Stegostoma tigrinum: one gene and its partner. The protein of the gene in region 1 purifies or fractionates together with the protein of each later gene. This does not show direct contact. Links are inferred from orthologs where the notes say so. Each region holds a gene or a part of one and is shown on either strand. Other genes may lie near its edges.

The links. Proteins that work in one complex are often made in the same cells at the same time.
Region 2: the proteins of tyrosine-protein phosphatase non-receptor type 1-like (region 1) and abcd3a purify together in Homo sapiens (affinity purification with mass spectrometry; 3 studies listed by BioGRID and IntAct, with this or other methods). This does not show direct contact. The link is inferred for Stegostoma tigrinum from reciprocal best matches to the Homo sapiens genes PTPN1 and ABCD3.

The regions. Positions count from the first base shown.
Region 1 is NC_081372.1:40,247,030-40,254,125, forward strand, and holds the start of tyrosine-protein phosphatase non-receptor type 1-like, read left to right. Parts: upstream 1-4,080; 5' UTR 4,081-4,196; coding exon 4,197-4,253; intron 4,254-7,096. UniProt on the Homo sapiens protein: Tyrosine-protein phosphatase which acts as a regulator of endoplasmic reticulum unfolded protein response. Mediates dephosphorylation of EIF2AK3/PERK; inactivating the protein kinase activity of EIF2AK3/PERK.
Region 2 is NC_081361.1:84,453,313-84,460,723, reverse strand, and holds the start of abcd3a (ATP-binding cassette sub-family D member 3a), read left to right. Parts: upstream 1-4,389; 5' UTR 4,390-4,462; coding exon 4,463-4,572; intron 4,573-7,411. UniProt on the Homo sapiens protein: Broad substrate specificity ATP-dependent transporter of the ATP-binding cassette (ABC) family that catalyzes the transport of long-chain fatty acids (LCFA)-CoA, dicarboxylic acids-CoA, long-branched-chain fatty acids-CoA and bile acids from the cytosol to the peroxisome lumen for beta-oxydation.

The DNA.
Region 1 (7,096 bases):
GAGGGGGATGGGGAGAGGGTTCTGGAATAAATAGGGAGATAGGGGGAGGCGGACCAAAGATGGAAAGAAGATAGGTGGAGAGAAGAGTATAGGTGGAGAGGTAGGGAGGGGATAGGTCGGTCCAGGGAAGCCGGACAGGTACCGCCCCCACCACAACCGCCCCAAGAGGATCCCCCTCATTCTCACACAGCACCCCACCAACCTCCGGATACAACGCATCATCCTCCAACACTTCTGCCATCTACAATCCGACCCCACCACCCAAGACATTTTTCCATCCCCACCCTTGTCTGCCTTCGGGAGACACCACTCTCTCCGTGACTCCCTTGTCCGCTCCACACTCCCCTCCAACCCCACCACACCCGGCACCTTCCCCTGCGACCGCAGGAAGTGCTACACTTGCCCCCACACCTCCTCCCTCACCCCCATCCCAGGCCCCAAGATGGCTTTCCACATTAAGCAGAGGTTCACCTGCACATCTGCCAATGTGGTATACTGTATCCATTGTACTCGGTGTAGCTTCCTCTACATCGGGGAAATCAAGCGGAGGCTTTGGTGGTATCTGGGATGTTGTTTGTAAAGTATGATTCCATGAGTATGTCAGGCTATTGCTTGACTGGTGTATGAGACAGCTTGCTCATTTCTGGGATTAAGAAGGACTTTGCAGAGTTGACAGGGACATTTCTGCTATTGCCTTTTCCAGTGTCTAGGTCAATGCCAGGTGGTCCTTTCAGTTTCAATTCTTTGTTGAGACTTCATGATGACTGATACAACTGAGTATTTCAGAGGGTCAACCACATTGCTATGGCTCTAGAGTCACGTGTAAGTCAGACCAGATGAGGATGGCAGATTTCCTTCCCTGAAGGGTATTAGACATTAGTTATTCAGATAGGTGCTTCCAACAATTAACAATGGCTTTAGTGATCATCAGAAGATTAACTCCAAATACTTCAAAAACTCCAAATCTGTGGTAGGATTCGAATCTGAGCCCCCAAACTTCAGTTAATTTCTAGATTAATAATCTCGCAATATTATCACTTGATCATCATCTAAAGGCTTGGTAAAAGTATCTTTATCTGGTTGGCAAGGCATAACTAGTGGGGTGGGGGGGGCACAGGATTCAGTGCTTGGGGCCCAACTACTCTCAATCAATATCAACAATTTGGAAGCAGGGATAGAAAATACTATGACCAAACATATAGATGACACTGAAATAGGTGATAAAGTAAGTTCCAATGAGGAAGCTTCCAATGACCCTTCGTCACTGGACCCAAAACGTTAACGAAAACTTCAGTAGGTCTGGAAGCATCTGTGAAGGGTAAAATCAGAGTTAACGCTTTAGGTCCAGTGAGGAAGGGTCATTGGAAGCTTCCTCATTGGAACTTACTTTATCACCTATTTCAGTGTCATCTATACATTTGGTCATAGTATTTTCTATCCCTCCTTCCAAATTGTTGACATTGATTGTGATTAGTTGGGCCCCAAGCACTGAATCCTGTGTCCCCCCACCCCACTAGTTATGCCTTGCCAACCAGATAGATACTCTTACCAAGCCTTTGGATGGTGACCAAGTCATCATTTCTGTTTTTGCCAGTGGAGACTTTGCCTAGTTGCAATGAGGCGAGGCATTGAGCAGAAGGGTTTGAGATTCCTTAATATTTTGAATGTCTCTTTCAAGAAATGAAGTAAGGTGTCACCGTTTTGGCATTTTAAATATTAACTTCATGCACACTGATGATACTCGAGAGCAGGAAGTGCCCTTCCAACCAAATGTTGGATATCTTAGGTTACATATTCCAGAATTAAGGAATGAACATATTTTGCTTTAATTTCTGTAAAATCCTTAGAGTGTGGTCTGAAAGACAAAAAAACTTTACACTAAAAATCTGATTAACTGACCAAAAACTTACAGATCAAACATATTAATATGATTTTCTTAGCATTGAAAAATCCAAAGAATTTCAGAGGTCAGTTGCCTTTGTTTCTGGAATGGTCAGCAACTAAAATGGTGAGATCAAAGACACTTAACTGTCCATTTGTATTTTTATCATGATCTATACTTAGGAAATAATTGGATCAAAGTTTTCTTGATGACAGGACAGTTTCTATTTAAAATGCTGTTGTAGGCCAATCTGCACAGCTGGGGAAATGGATAAATTGAAGTTCATCCAGAGATTTCTTAGCCTGGATAGAGAGTTAATATCTCAACTTTAACATCTGTATTACAGAAGTCATTTTGTGGCCCACATTAACTACAAAAATGTTATTAGGTTCACTGGTAAAAATCAAGATGGTCAATGAACAAATCACCAAAGTATGGTATTACTTTGATTGCACTTTTATTCATAAGTCTTGCAGACTATAAATTACAAAATTCAGATTATGTGCTAAATGGCTGCATCATCAGTAATTACTGTATTTTATTTCCATACATTTAAAGTTGAATACAATCATTTGTTAATGCGATACTTTTCAATCTTTGTAGCAAGAAACCGTGGAGGTTCTCTCTGTAACCTCTAATGCAATGATCATGGTTAAGAGATAATTAGTTGTTCAATTAGAATAGTACACTTCTCACAAACCACATCATGTTGAGTTTTCAGTTTCATGGGATGGGCAATTTGTCCCTCTGCCATAGAATGGGGTTGGGTGAAATATTGAATTGTGACTGATTAAGAAAAGATTAGAGATGTTGAATAATATACTAAAATGAGCTGGAAATTAGAACAATATAGTAAGATATATCCAGAAACTTTCAGGGCGTCAACTTTGAGTTGCAAGTTTTTTTTTTAAATTGGTTTTTCAATCTCTTACAATCAATGATAACAATCTCATGATGAATATATTTATGAAGCTTTCATGATTTGTCTAGTTTCCTAAGAAGAACCACCGTTTAGACGAGAGGACCATTTGAATTCAATGGTCTTGTCACAATTTTGTGGCCTTTTCTCTCAATTTGTACCTCTCCAGAGATAAGAGCAACTTAAAAAAAATCAGAAATTGAAACTGAAATAGGTCAAGCACCAACTGTACAGAGAAACATAAGTGATGTTTCAGGTCTAACATTTATGATCACCTTTCCTCGACAAAGAGAAAAATCTGAAACGAAAAAGAAATAAAGTGAGGATACAGAGTTTATGGCCAGAAATTTTTAACTTCATACTGAATGCAGAAGATAGTGCCCAAGCAACCAATAAGCATGTTGTTTCTTAGGCTTACGTTAAGAAATAACTGATTTGGCCTTTCACTGAAACGCTGCAGCAGGTAAGTGATCTTGGGTAACTTTCTGAAAGAAACACAACGCGGGGATCAGTCAAAATTGTTGATTTATTCATGTCTTCAACAGGACTTTCCAAACAGTCCCGCTACCTGGCAAATTGTTTCATAATTCTTTTAAAACTAAATGTTTTTAACCCTGAAAGACTTTCAAATCCTTCCTGTCAGCCTGGAGGACACTTACGTCATGGATAAAGTAGAGATTAATGAACTTGATCATATCATTAGCAACGTTCAATGATACAAGAACATCACTTTGCCATTATTGTGGTTACTGTTTCTTAGCTCAGGCAATTCTGTTAGATCCACCTACCGGCATACAGACTTTACTTTGCCATGAGCTCAGGTTTGGTTTGGATTTAGACACAGTTATGCTCTAACGAAGCCCCGAACACATTATCGGCTGGACTTTCTTTCCAGAATCTTCAAGCTGGCCCGCCACCAGGGCCCGTGGGATACAATCGGAGATTGAAGAACTACATCTCCCAGTAGGCATCGCGAAGCCCTCCGTGGATGCGGTATAAACATCGAGGAGCAAAGCATCCCGGATGTATGGAGCTGCACCCAATGTAAACAATTCCCCGTTTTTATGAAGCAATATCTGACTTTTCGGACTGAGCAATGTATTTCGGGCCGCTAGTCCGCACAGTCCTCTGGGATTTGGTAGGAAACGTCATTTCCTGGACAGTTTACTACAATTCCCATTAGGCAACACGCAAAGCCGTCCTGCGTTCCGTATTCTGATTGGTAGGGGCTGGTGCCAGTCATGGGTTGATGGTGTGTGTTTCCGGTGTGTGGTCGAAGCCCTCCTGCTGCGAGGGAGTTGAGATGAAGTGGTAGGAGCGGAGCGCGAAGGGGAATTTACAGCGTTAGCGTGAGGCCCAGAGTGGAGAGGAGACAGGCACAGCGCGCTTGCAGTCATGGAGCAGGAGTTCGCGGAGATCGATAAACAGGGCAACTGGGCGATGCTTTACCAGGTGAGGGTAGTACGAGTGTCCGGGATCGGGAGGGCGAGTGAGCGAGGCTCGGGAGCTTCCACCCCGCAGCCCGGGGGTTCGAGTTACATGCTGCCGGGAAGGAAGTGTAGACCGGTGGGTGCAATACCTGGGTCTGTATATTGGCAGCTTATGTGTCTGTCTTGATTCTGTGTGTTAATCATGTCCCGTCGGTGTGGGAACCGCTCGTGGATTGTGGCGGGGTTTGTCTAATTAGTTAGTTCAGTCAGCAACCACTCCAACAAATTATTGTGCAAACACTATAACCAGAAACTGTCAGTCTACTGTCTTGGTAATAAAGTGACTCACACCGACTTTTGAGAGCAGCATGGGCAAATGGTCTTTGTAGTTGCCGAGGGTGGTTTTTTCCTATCTGGAGGGTGAATTTGCTTTTTTAAAGCATCCGGTAACATTCATGAAATACATTGTTCCCTGATTTCGTTTGCCAACTTCAGTTATTAAATCATATCCTGGTTTCATTTTACAACAGTAACTAATTAGCGGTAATTATTGGTGGTTATAATAAGGTTAATTTTTGAATTAATTTTGACCAAGCCTAATAATGATCGTTCCCCATATCTCCCACGCTGTCTTGACGCTCTTTTGCCTGAGCATGAGGATGTCTCTTCGTGAAAATACTGTTGCAACTATGAAACGATGATCTGCAAATTCTGAGTCTCTTTCTGTAGGATGTAAAAATGAACTTGGTTGCATTTATTTAGCATGATAGGTTTTTTCACTTTCCTAAACTTGGGTGGACAAGTAAGTAACTTACAAATGTTTTGTCCTAGTGAAGTATGCAAGGCCTCAGATCGCTTATGTGCATTCCTTTGTACTAACCAGACCTAAAAAATCTACAAAATTATGAAATAAAAACTGAAAGAACTGTGGATGCTGGAAATCAAAAACAAAACAGAAATTGCAGGAAAAGCTCAACAGGCTTGGCAGCATCTAGAGAGAAATGAGCACTAACGTTTTGGGTCCATTGACCCTTCCTCAGAACTGATAGCTAGGAAAAAGTTGGTTTTCATGTAGAACGTATGGTGGGAGAGGGGCTAAGAGTAAATAGTAGGTGGGGAGAGAGCCCAAGGAGAGAGAAGAACAATTGGACAGGCAAAGGAGTGAATAATGAATATCCTAAGAGATATAGATATTAATCGGGACTATTTGTAATAGTAGACCATGTGATAACAAGGCCTGATGTGTGAGGGTTGGGGTAAGGACATGGGAGAAGGTGCCTCACGCTCTAAAATTGATCTTGATATTGAGCCCAGAAAGCTGTAGAGTTCCCAAGTGGAGAATGAGGTAACGTACTTCCAGCTTATGTTGAGCTTTGCTTCAACAAGCCTGAGACCAAGATGTTGGCCAGGTAACAAGGTGGTACAGGTGGTATATTGAAATGGCAGCCAACCAGAAGCTCAAGGTCTTTTTTTTGTGGACAGCTCGTAAGTGTTCTCTGAAGCAATCACCCAGTCAACCCTTTGTTTCCCCAAATTAGAGAAGACCACATTGTGAGCGGTGAATGTAGTAGACTAGATTAAGTGAAATGTGGATAAAGCACTGCTTCACCTGGAAGGTATATTTGGGTCCTTGGATACTGAGGAGGGAGGAAATAAATGGGCAGATGTTACACCTTCTCAGGTTGCTGGGGCAGGTGCCATGGGGCTGTGGGGAAGTGTTTGGCATGAAGGGGGAGTGGACGAGTGTGTCCCAGAAGGAATGGTCTTTGCAGGAGGCTGAAATGGAGGGGATTGGAATATGTCTGCTGTTGGCATCCCACTGGAGGTGGCACAAATGGATATAGATGTTGTTGGGATAGTAGGTGGGTGAATGGGGTGACCCTAATCACAGTTGTGGTAGGAAAGAGAAGGGTGAGGGCTGACGTTTGGGAGATAGGTCAAACCTGGCAGAGGGCCCTGTCAGCTACCGTGCTGGGGAATCCTCGGTTGAGGAAGAACATGGCTATCCCCTTGTTGAATTTGACATGTTCAGAACAGATGTGATGGAGGAACTGGGAGAATGGAATAGTCTTTATAGGATGCAGGGTGTATAGTCAAAGTAACTGTGTGGGTTGGTCGGTTTATCATAGATGTTGACAGCCAATTCCCCAAAAGTAGAAATAGTCTGAGATGTGGTAATAGGAACTGCCAGTGCTGCAGAATCTGAGATAACAAGGTGTAGAGCTGGATGAACACAGCAGGCTAAGCAGCATCACAGGACAAGGTGTAGAGCTGGTGTCCTGCTCCTCTGCTGCTTGGCCTGCTACGTTCATCCGCCACTACGCTTTGTTATCTCATAGTCTGAGATGGTCCGGGAGAAGGTGAGGGCTGGGTGGAAATTGGAAGCAAAATTGATAAACTATTCCAATTCTGGATGAAAGAGGGGAGCAGCACCAATGGTATCATCAATATTCTAGAGAAAGAATTGTGGTTGGGGGCTGGGATTTGACTGGAACCAGGAATGTTCCACATACCTTACAAAGAAACAGGCATACCCAGGGCCCATGAGGGTACCTATGGCAACTCTTCTGACCTGAAAAAAGTAAGAGGAGTTTGAGAAGTTGTGCAGAGTGAAGATGGTGGAGGAGGGTGGTGGTGAATGGGGACAGTTCATCCCTTTTTTCCAGAAAGAAGTGGAGAATCTGGTGACCACCCTGATGGGGAATGGACATATAAAGGATTGCATCTCCATGGTAGAGAGGAGCCCACAAACTAGAAATTTTGAAACTAATGTAAAATATCAGAGAAATTGTAGATTTAAGTGAGAAGGGAATGAACAAGGGGAGAAAAAAATTGAATCGAGTTAGGAAGAGCTGAGTTCTGCAG
Region 2 (7,411 bases), on another chromosome or scaffold:
ATCTGGATTTGACTTTCCAAAATGCAACACCTCACACTTATCTACATTAAACTTCATTTGCCATTTCCCGGTCTACTACCCCAGCTGATCAAGATGCTGCTGCAATTTCTGATAACCTTCCTCACTGTCCAGGACACTGTCTATTTTGGTGTCACCTGCAAACTTACTAATCAAGCCTTGTACATTCTCATTCAAATCATCGATATAGATAACAAACAGCAATGGGCCCAGCACCGATGCCTGAGTCACACTACTAGTCACAGGCCTCCAGTTAGACAAGCTTCCTTCCAGTATTACTCTCTACTTCCTACCACCAAGCCAATTGTGTATCCAATTTGCTAGCTCTACCTGGATTCCAAGTAATCTAGCCTTCCAGAGTAGCCAAACATGTGGAACATTATTAAAGGCCTTAATGAATCCATATAGACGTCTACTGTCCTGCCATCATCAACCTTCCTGGTCACTTCATCAAAGAACTCTAAGAAATTTGTGAGGCATGATCTCCCATGCTCAAAGACTTGCTGACTACTCCTAAGTAAACCCTGCCTTTCCAAATGCATTTATATCTTATCCCTCAGAACTGTCTCAAGTATCTCCCTACCACAGATGATAAGCTTACTGATCTATAATTCCCAGGTTTTTCTTTGCAGCTCTTCTTGAATAAGAGCACAACCTTCTCTGCTTCATTTGTGCCTAACAACGATGCAAATATATCAGCCGGGAACCCCACAATTTCTTCGCTTGTCTCTTGCAGGGTTCTTGGATATATCTGGTCAGGACCACGAGATTTATCCAACTTCGTACATTCTAATTCCCTCTTGTTTTCAGCGCAAGCCAGAGTGCTGACAGGAAAGGAAGGTAGTTTTTGTTTCACCCTGTATAAAAACTTACCTCATGCAGCAAGCGGCCCTCTTGTTTTCAGCGGCGGGTGTGTGGAGGGAACGCGAGCTAGGAAGAAACACGTAAATTTGGGCATTGGCTAAACCCGAAACACTACACGTGTAGTGTCTCCCACCTGACCTCCTCCTCTACCAAAAAAGACTGTGTGGAGGTTTGGTAAGTTAAGACTTTTTTTTATTCTTCCTTTGGAAATCTCGCGTACAGGGATTGGAGGCTGGGGCAGTTGCCTGTTCCACTTGTAAGGATGTGGGAGTTAAGGATCACTGCTGGTGTCTGCTTCCAGACTCTAATATATGTGAAGTGATGCCTCTCCTTTGCTGTTGCCCTCTGCTGGACCGAAAAAAAATTGCCTTTTTAATTTTGTACCCTTAGAGTTGAAAATGAAGACGCACAAAGATCCTAAGATAATAAAATGTGAGGCTGGATGAACACAGCAGGCCAAGCAGCATCTCAGGAGCACAAAAGCTGACGTTTCGGGCCTAGACCCTTCATCAGAGATGCTGCTTGGCCTGCTGTGTTCATCCAGCCTCACATTTTATTATCTTGGAATCTCCAGCATCTGCAGTTCCCACTATCTCTCACGCACAAAGATCCTTTCAGCTGGGATCAAAGACAAAAAATAGAAGGATTAGCTTCTCCAATTTGAGGTGGATGCACTTCCTCTGAAATTTAGTCACTATATGCGTCAGTCAATTTCTGCTAGGGAGAAAACTTGTCCTCCTCACTGGGGTGTGTTTTTGTTGACTGCATTGATTGCAGTCTGATGGAGGATGAATTATTAAGATTAACAGCTATCCTCTTTATTTTCTACGGCTCTCGATGTTCGTTTTGTGTTTTCTCTTGATAATTGGAATTGATAATAAATCATCAGCTTCCCATCTGCCGAAGTTGATAGAGCCCATTTTCATGGAGGCTTTCGGCATTGTCTCTAAAATGTTTCCTTTGCTCAGAGTGAAGGCCCCATGTCAGCAGTCTTGATCAGGGCGTTCTGACGATGTTCACTGTCCATGATAGCTGATGTGAGATTGTCATGACCTTTGTACTTGACAGACATGTCTTGGAGGAAATTGTATCAGAGATAATGGGAACTGCAGATGCTGGAGAATCCGAGATAACAAAGTGTGGAGCTGGATGAACACAGCAGGCCAAGCAGCAACTCAGGAGATCGAAGGTGAATAGAGGAGAAGATAGATGGCGAGGAGAGTATGTGTGGGGAGGTAGGGAGGGGAAAGGTCAAGGGGGCGGGATGAGGTTAGTAGGTAGGAAGTGGAGGTGCAGCTTGAGGTGGGAGGAGGGGATAGGTGAGAGGAAGAACAGGTTAGGGAGGTGGGGACGAGCTGGGCTGGTTTTGGGATGCAGTGGGGGGAGGGGTGATTTGGAAGCTTGTGAAATCCACTTTAATACCATTGGGCTGCAGGGTTCCCAAGCAGACTATTAAGTTGCTGTTCCTGCAACCTTCGGGTGGCATCATTGTGGAGGAGGCCCATGATGGACACGTCATCTAAGGAATGGGAACAAGAGTTGAAATGGTTCGCGACTGGGTGTATAGGTGTTCTGCAAAGCAGTCCCCAAACCTCCGCTTGGTTTCCCCAATGTAGAGGAAGTGACAACGGGTACAGTGGATACAGTATACTACATTGGCAGATGTGCAGGTGAACATCTGCTTGATGTGGAAAGTCATCTTGGGGCCTGGGATGGGAGTGAGGGTGGAGATATGGGGGCAAGTGTAGCACTTCCTGTGGTTGCAGGGGAAAGTGCCGGGTGTGGTGGGGTTGGAGGGGAAGGAATTGGGAAAAGGGGATGGAATTTTTGCAGGATGGTGGGTGGAAGGAGGTGTATTCTAAGTAGCTGTGGGAATCGGTGGGCTTGAAATGGATATCGGTTTCTAGGTGGTTGCCTGAGATGGAGACAGAGAGGTCCAGGAAGGTGAAGGATGTGTTGGAGATGGTCCAGGTGAACTTGAGGTTGGGGTGGAAGGTGTTGGTGAAGTGGATGAACTATTCGAGCTCCTCTTGGGAGCACGAGGCGGCGCCAATACAGTCATCAATGTAATGGAGGAAGAGGTGGGGTTTAGGGCCAGTTCCCAATTCCTTCGCCTCCGCCTTGTCTGCTCCCAGGATGAGGCATTCCACTCCCATACATCCCAGATGTCCTCATTCTTCATGGACCGCAACTTCCCCCCCGCAGTGATCGAGAACATCCTCGACCGTGTCTCCCGCATTTCCCGCAACTCATCCCTCACACCTCGTCCCCGCAATAACCACCAAAAGAGAATCCCCCTTTGTCCTCACATACCATCCCACCAACTTCCAGATACAATGCATCATCCTCCGACACTTCCGCCATCTACAATCCGACCCCACCACCCAAGAAATTTTTCCATCCCCACCTTTGTCTGCCTTCCGGAAAAACCACTCTCTCCGGGACTCCCTTGTCCGCTCCACACACCCCTCCAACCCCACCACACCCGGCACTTTCCCCTGTAACCGCAGGAAGTGTTACAATTGCCCCCACACCTCCTCCCTCACCCCCATCCCAGGCCCCAAGATGACTTTCCACATCAAGCAGATATTCACCTGCACATCTGCCAATGTGGTATACTGCATTTGCTGCACCCGTTGTGGCTCCCTCTACACTGGGGAAACCAAGCAGAGGCTTGGGGACCGCTTTGCAGAACACCTCCGCTCGGTTCGCAATAAACAACTGCACCTCCCAGTCACGAACCATTTCAACTCCCCCTCACATTCCTCAGACGACATGTCCATCATGGGCCTCCTGCAGTGCCACAATGATGCCACCCGAAGGTTGCAGGAACAGCAACTCATATTCCGCTTGGGAACCCTGCAGCCCAACGGTATTAATGTGGATTTCACAAGCTTCAAAATCTCCCCTCTCCCCACTGCATCCCAAAACCAGCCCAGCTCGTCCCCACCTCCCTAACCTGTTCTTCCTCTCACCTATCTCCTCCTCCCACCTCAAGCCGCACCTCCATCTCCTACCCACTAACCTCATCCCACCTCCTTGACCTGTCCATCTTCCCTGGACTGACCTATCCCCTCCCTACCTCCCCACCTATACTCTCCTCTCCACCTATCTTCTCCTCTCTCCATCTTCGGTCCGCCTCCCCCTCTCTCCCATCCCCTTTTTCTGACGAAGTGTCTAGGCCTGAAACGCTGCTTGGCCTGCTGTGTTCATCCAGCTCCACACTTTGTTATCTTGCGCGCGCACACACACACACACAGTATGTCTTTCAGCTTTGTTGATAAATCTGAGAATAAGAACTCGGGATTTAAATGCATTGGCAAAATGGATACTGCATCCCATGCTCAGATTTAGCAGTGCAAAGGTTATGAATTAAAAGGAATAATCGACGAATAGGTGCAAATTCTTTAGGTGACGTCTTGCCCAGAACTTGCGTTCAGGTGAAAGTCCCTTCAGCGTTGACCGTGCCCTGAACTGCGGTCGCTTAGCAGACGATGATTGACATTTGGAGTGACGCTTGTCCCGGCAGCGCTCGCGCCGCTGTCCCGGTTCCTCCGCCGTTACCGCTGTTAGTGCTGCAATGGCGGCTTTCAGCAAATTAGTGACAGCCAAACACTCTGCGCTCGGAGCGGCAGCTGTCTTTGTACTCTTTGCGTTGAGTCGAAGACGGGGCAGAGGTACATTCCCCAGGTACAGGATCGCGCTTGCTCTTACTGACCATTCGAAAGCCGGGTTCCCTGTCGCGTGTTACTCGAGGCCGGGGATTTAAAAACGGCCTAGCCACTTTAATCTGGAAAGACTGGAGTGACAGAAGCTGACACACATGACAGTACATTGATTGAAGGAAAGGTCGGCCCCGCGATCCGCTGTAATTTTATTATCTTTGATGTGCGATTTGTTTTACTTCATCGGCACTTGGTTATTGCTTTGCTGTATCTACTGTCGAAAGCAACCTTTCTGAAGCATTGTTTTAATTCATCCTCTCTTTGGATTTTACCATTAATTGAGAAAACTGTCATTTGCAATATTTTGTTCGCGATTGCTGAAAATTTAATGCTTTCTCGCACTAAAACCGAGCAATTTAATGGTCCAACTACTCAGCTTCATTGTTAATTCATACAGTTTAGAGAACGGTGCCGTAACTCTTCACATTTGGTTATTGCTTGATTACTTAGCGGTGATTGTTCCCTTTATTTCATGGGATGCGGTATTGCTGGCATGAACATTGTCGTTGATCTTTGTGGCTAACTGGAGCATCAGCCATCTTCTGGAGTGTCATGTAGGCCAGAATAATGACTGCAGATTTTCTTCCCTAAAGCGCACCTAGTGAACCAGATGAGGTTTGTTTTTACAACAGTGGAGTTGTGAAATTAGCTTTTATCGCCAAGTTTGAGCATCGGCCTGGGTTCTAGTCTAGTGACATTGCCATTATTCCACCACCCTCCTGTGATTATTGGTTGAATGCTTGTTCTGGGTTCAGGACCTAAATGTTGAATGAACTTCCAGGCTATGATTCAGCATTGATTTACGTTGTCTGATGTTATAATCTGATTTTTGATGAGCTGGCCAAGAGTGCATGTTCATTGAAATGAAATCAAGAACTGTGGGTGTTGGAAATCTGAAACTAAAACAAAAATGTTGACCTGAAACATTGACTCTGTTTCCTCTCCACAGAATCTGCCAGACATGCTAAGTTACTCCAGCAATTTCTAGTTTTGTTGTTGCATGCTCACTGTACATTTAAGATGGCAAGCAGGTGGGTAGGCTGACAAAGCTGGAGGATCAGCAGGAGGTGTTCCAGCACAGAGATTGGGAAATGCTGGTACCTCTAGTGTAGATTGGAGAAGGAGAAGTCACTTCAAGATGGAAGTGGTAGCTGAAGACATTTTGAAAAGTTGTAATATTTATTTTGGCAATATATTTTTTAAAAAATTCCTTCGCCCCCACCCCCAGCCCCAGAGGGTGCTTTTGCCAACTGTTTTAAGTTTGTACCCTCCAGTTACTGACTGTCCTGCCATTTTTGGGAAGCATCTGATCAGTTCCTGTGGTAGAGGTGAGTACAGTTAGAACATTTAAAAGATCTTTGGTACATGAATGGCCAATGGGACTAGTCCAGTTTTGGAAACCAGCTCAGCATGGACAAGGTGGGCTGAAGGGCCTGTTTTTGTGCAGTGTAACTTTGATGTCTATGATGTTGTGCCCCTCTGGGGCTTGGAAGATGGCTTAAACTTTTGATTACGACCCGTTATTGAGACTCCTCCTTTGTAAGCATTTTGGTATTACAAAAACTGTTTGGACATGTTATGACCCTCACTGGCCATCATAGCCGGTGGTTGATCTTGAAACCAGATTTCCTCAAACAGTAGTATATTTTACTGTTTTAGCACATTATCAGTTAATAAGGTCAGGTATTTTGGAGGCTGGAAATATATTGGTAACTGGAAGGATTTTCAGTATAAGGAAGCATAGAATAACTGTTTGAGTTGAAAATATTTGTCATTATTTTGCATCCTCATTTCAATCTCAGCCTTTGCCAAACACACTTATTTCCATCTCCAGTCTCCTAAGTCACCCTCACTGTTAAGTGAAATCTGATTTAAACTTGTAATGTCTCTTGACTTGATATTTCATAACTGCAAATGTGCAATGTTCCAAACCTCTTCCTCCTCAAATTTCTGCCTGAAGCAGGCCCTCGGAAAATATTTGGTGAAGAATGGCAAAGTACTGTTGTTTTTTTGATTATGGGTAGGCCGCAAGGGCAGATCCCTAGTCCATCTGTTAAATCTCCTCTTAACCTTTTCTGCTGTAAGATGAGCAATTCTACCATCGTTAGTCTCTCCATAAAACTGAAGTACCTCATCCCCGATACCATTCTAGTAAATTCCCTGTTTTATCTTCTCCACGACTTTTGCATTCAATATTTTGATGAATTTAGAATTAAAAGCACGATTCCAGCTGAGGCTGAACCAGTGATTTTTCAGAGGGTTCGTACAAACTTCCTTGCTTCGATAATCTGTCACTTTGATAAAGCCGGTGATCCGAATACATTTTTTTAACAAATTTTTCAACTTGTCCTGCCACCATATTAAATGTTTTATGTGAACCCTCACATCTCTCTGTTTCAGTGGCCCTTTAAAATTTTGCGCTTCATTCTCCTTATTCTTTGAACAACAAAAAAAAGCATTCTTTCACGCATTGCCTTGTCTAGCTTTCCACTAATTTTATGCAGCCTTGAAGTTTCTCTCACTAATTATTACATTTCCAAGTTTTATGTCAGTTGTAGATTCTGAAATTATGCTACCTTCACCCACGATTCAAGATCAGTGTTCCTGAGACACACCACTCCAAACCTCCATCTGAAAAATGAAATTTGACCATGACGCTGATTTCTATGTCAAACAACTTTGTGTCCACACAGTCATTATCCACATAATCTCGTGCCTTCAGTTTTATTGGCAAGTCTGTGATGTGATTCTTCATCAAACATTTTTGAAAGTTCATATATGTAGTTTTAAATTTTTTCCCCTTA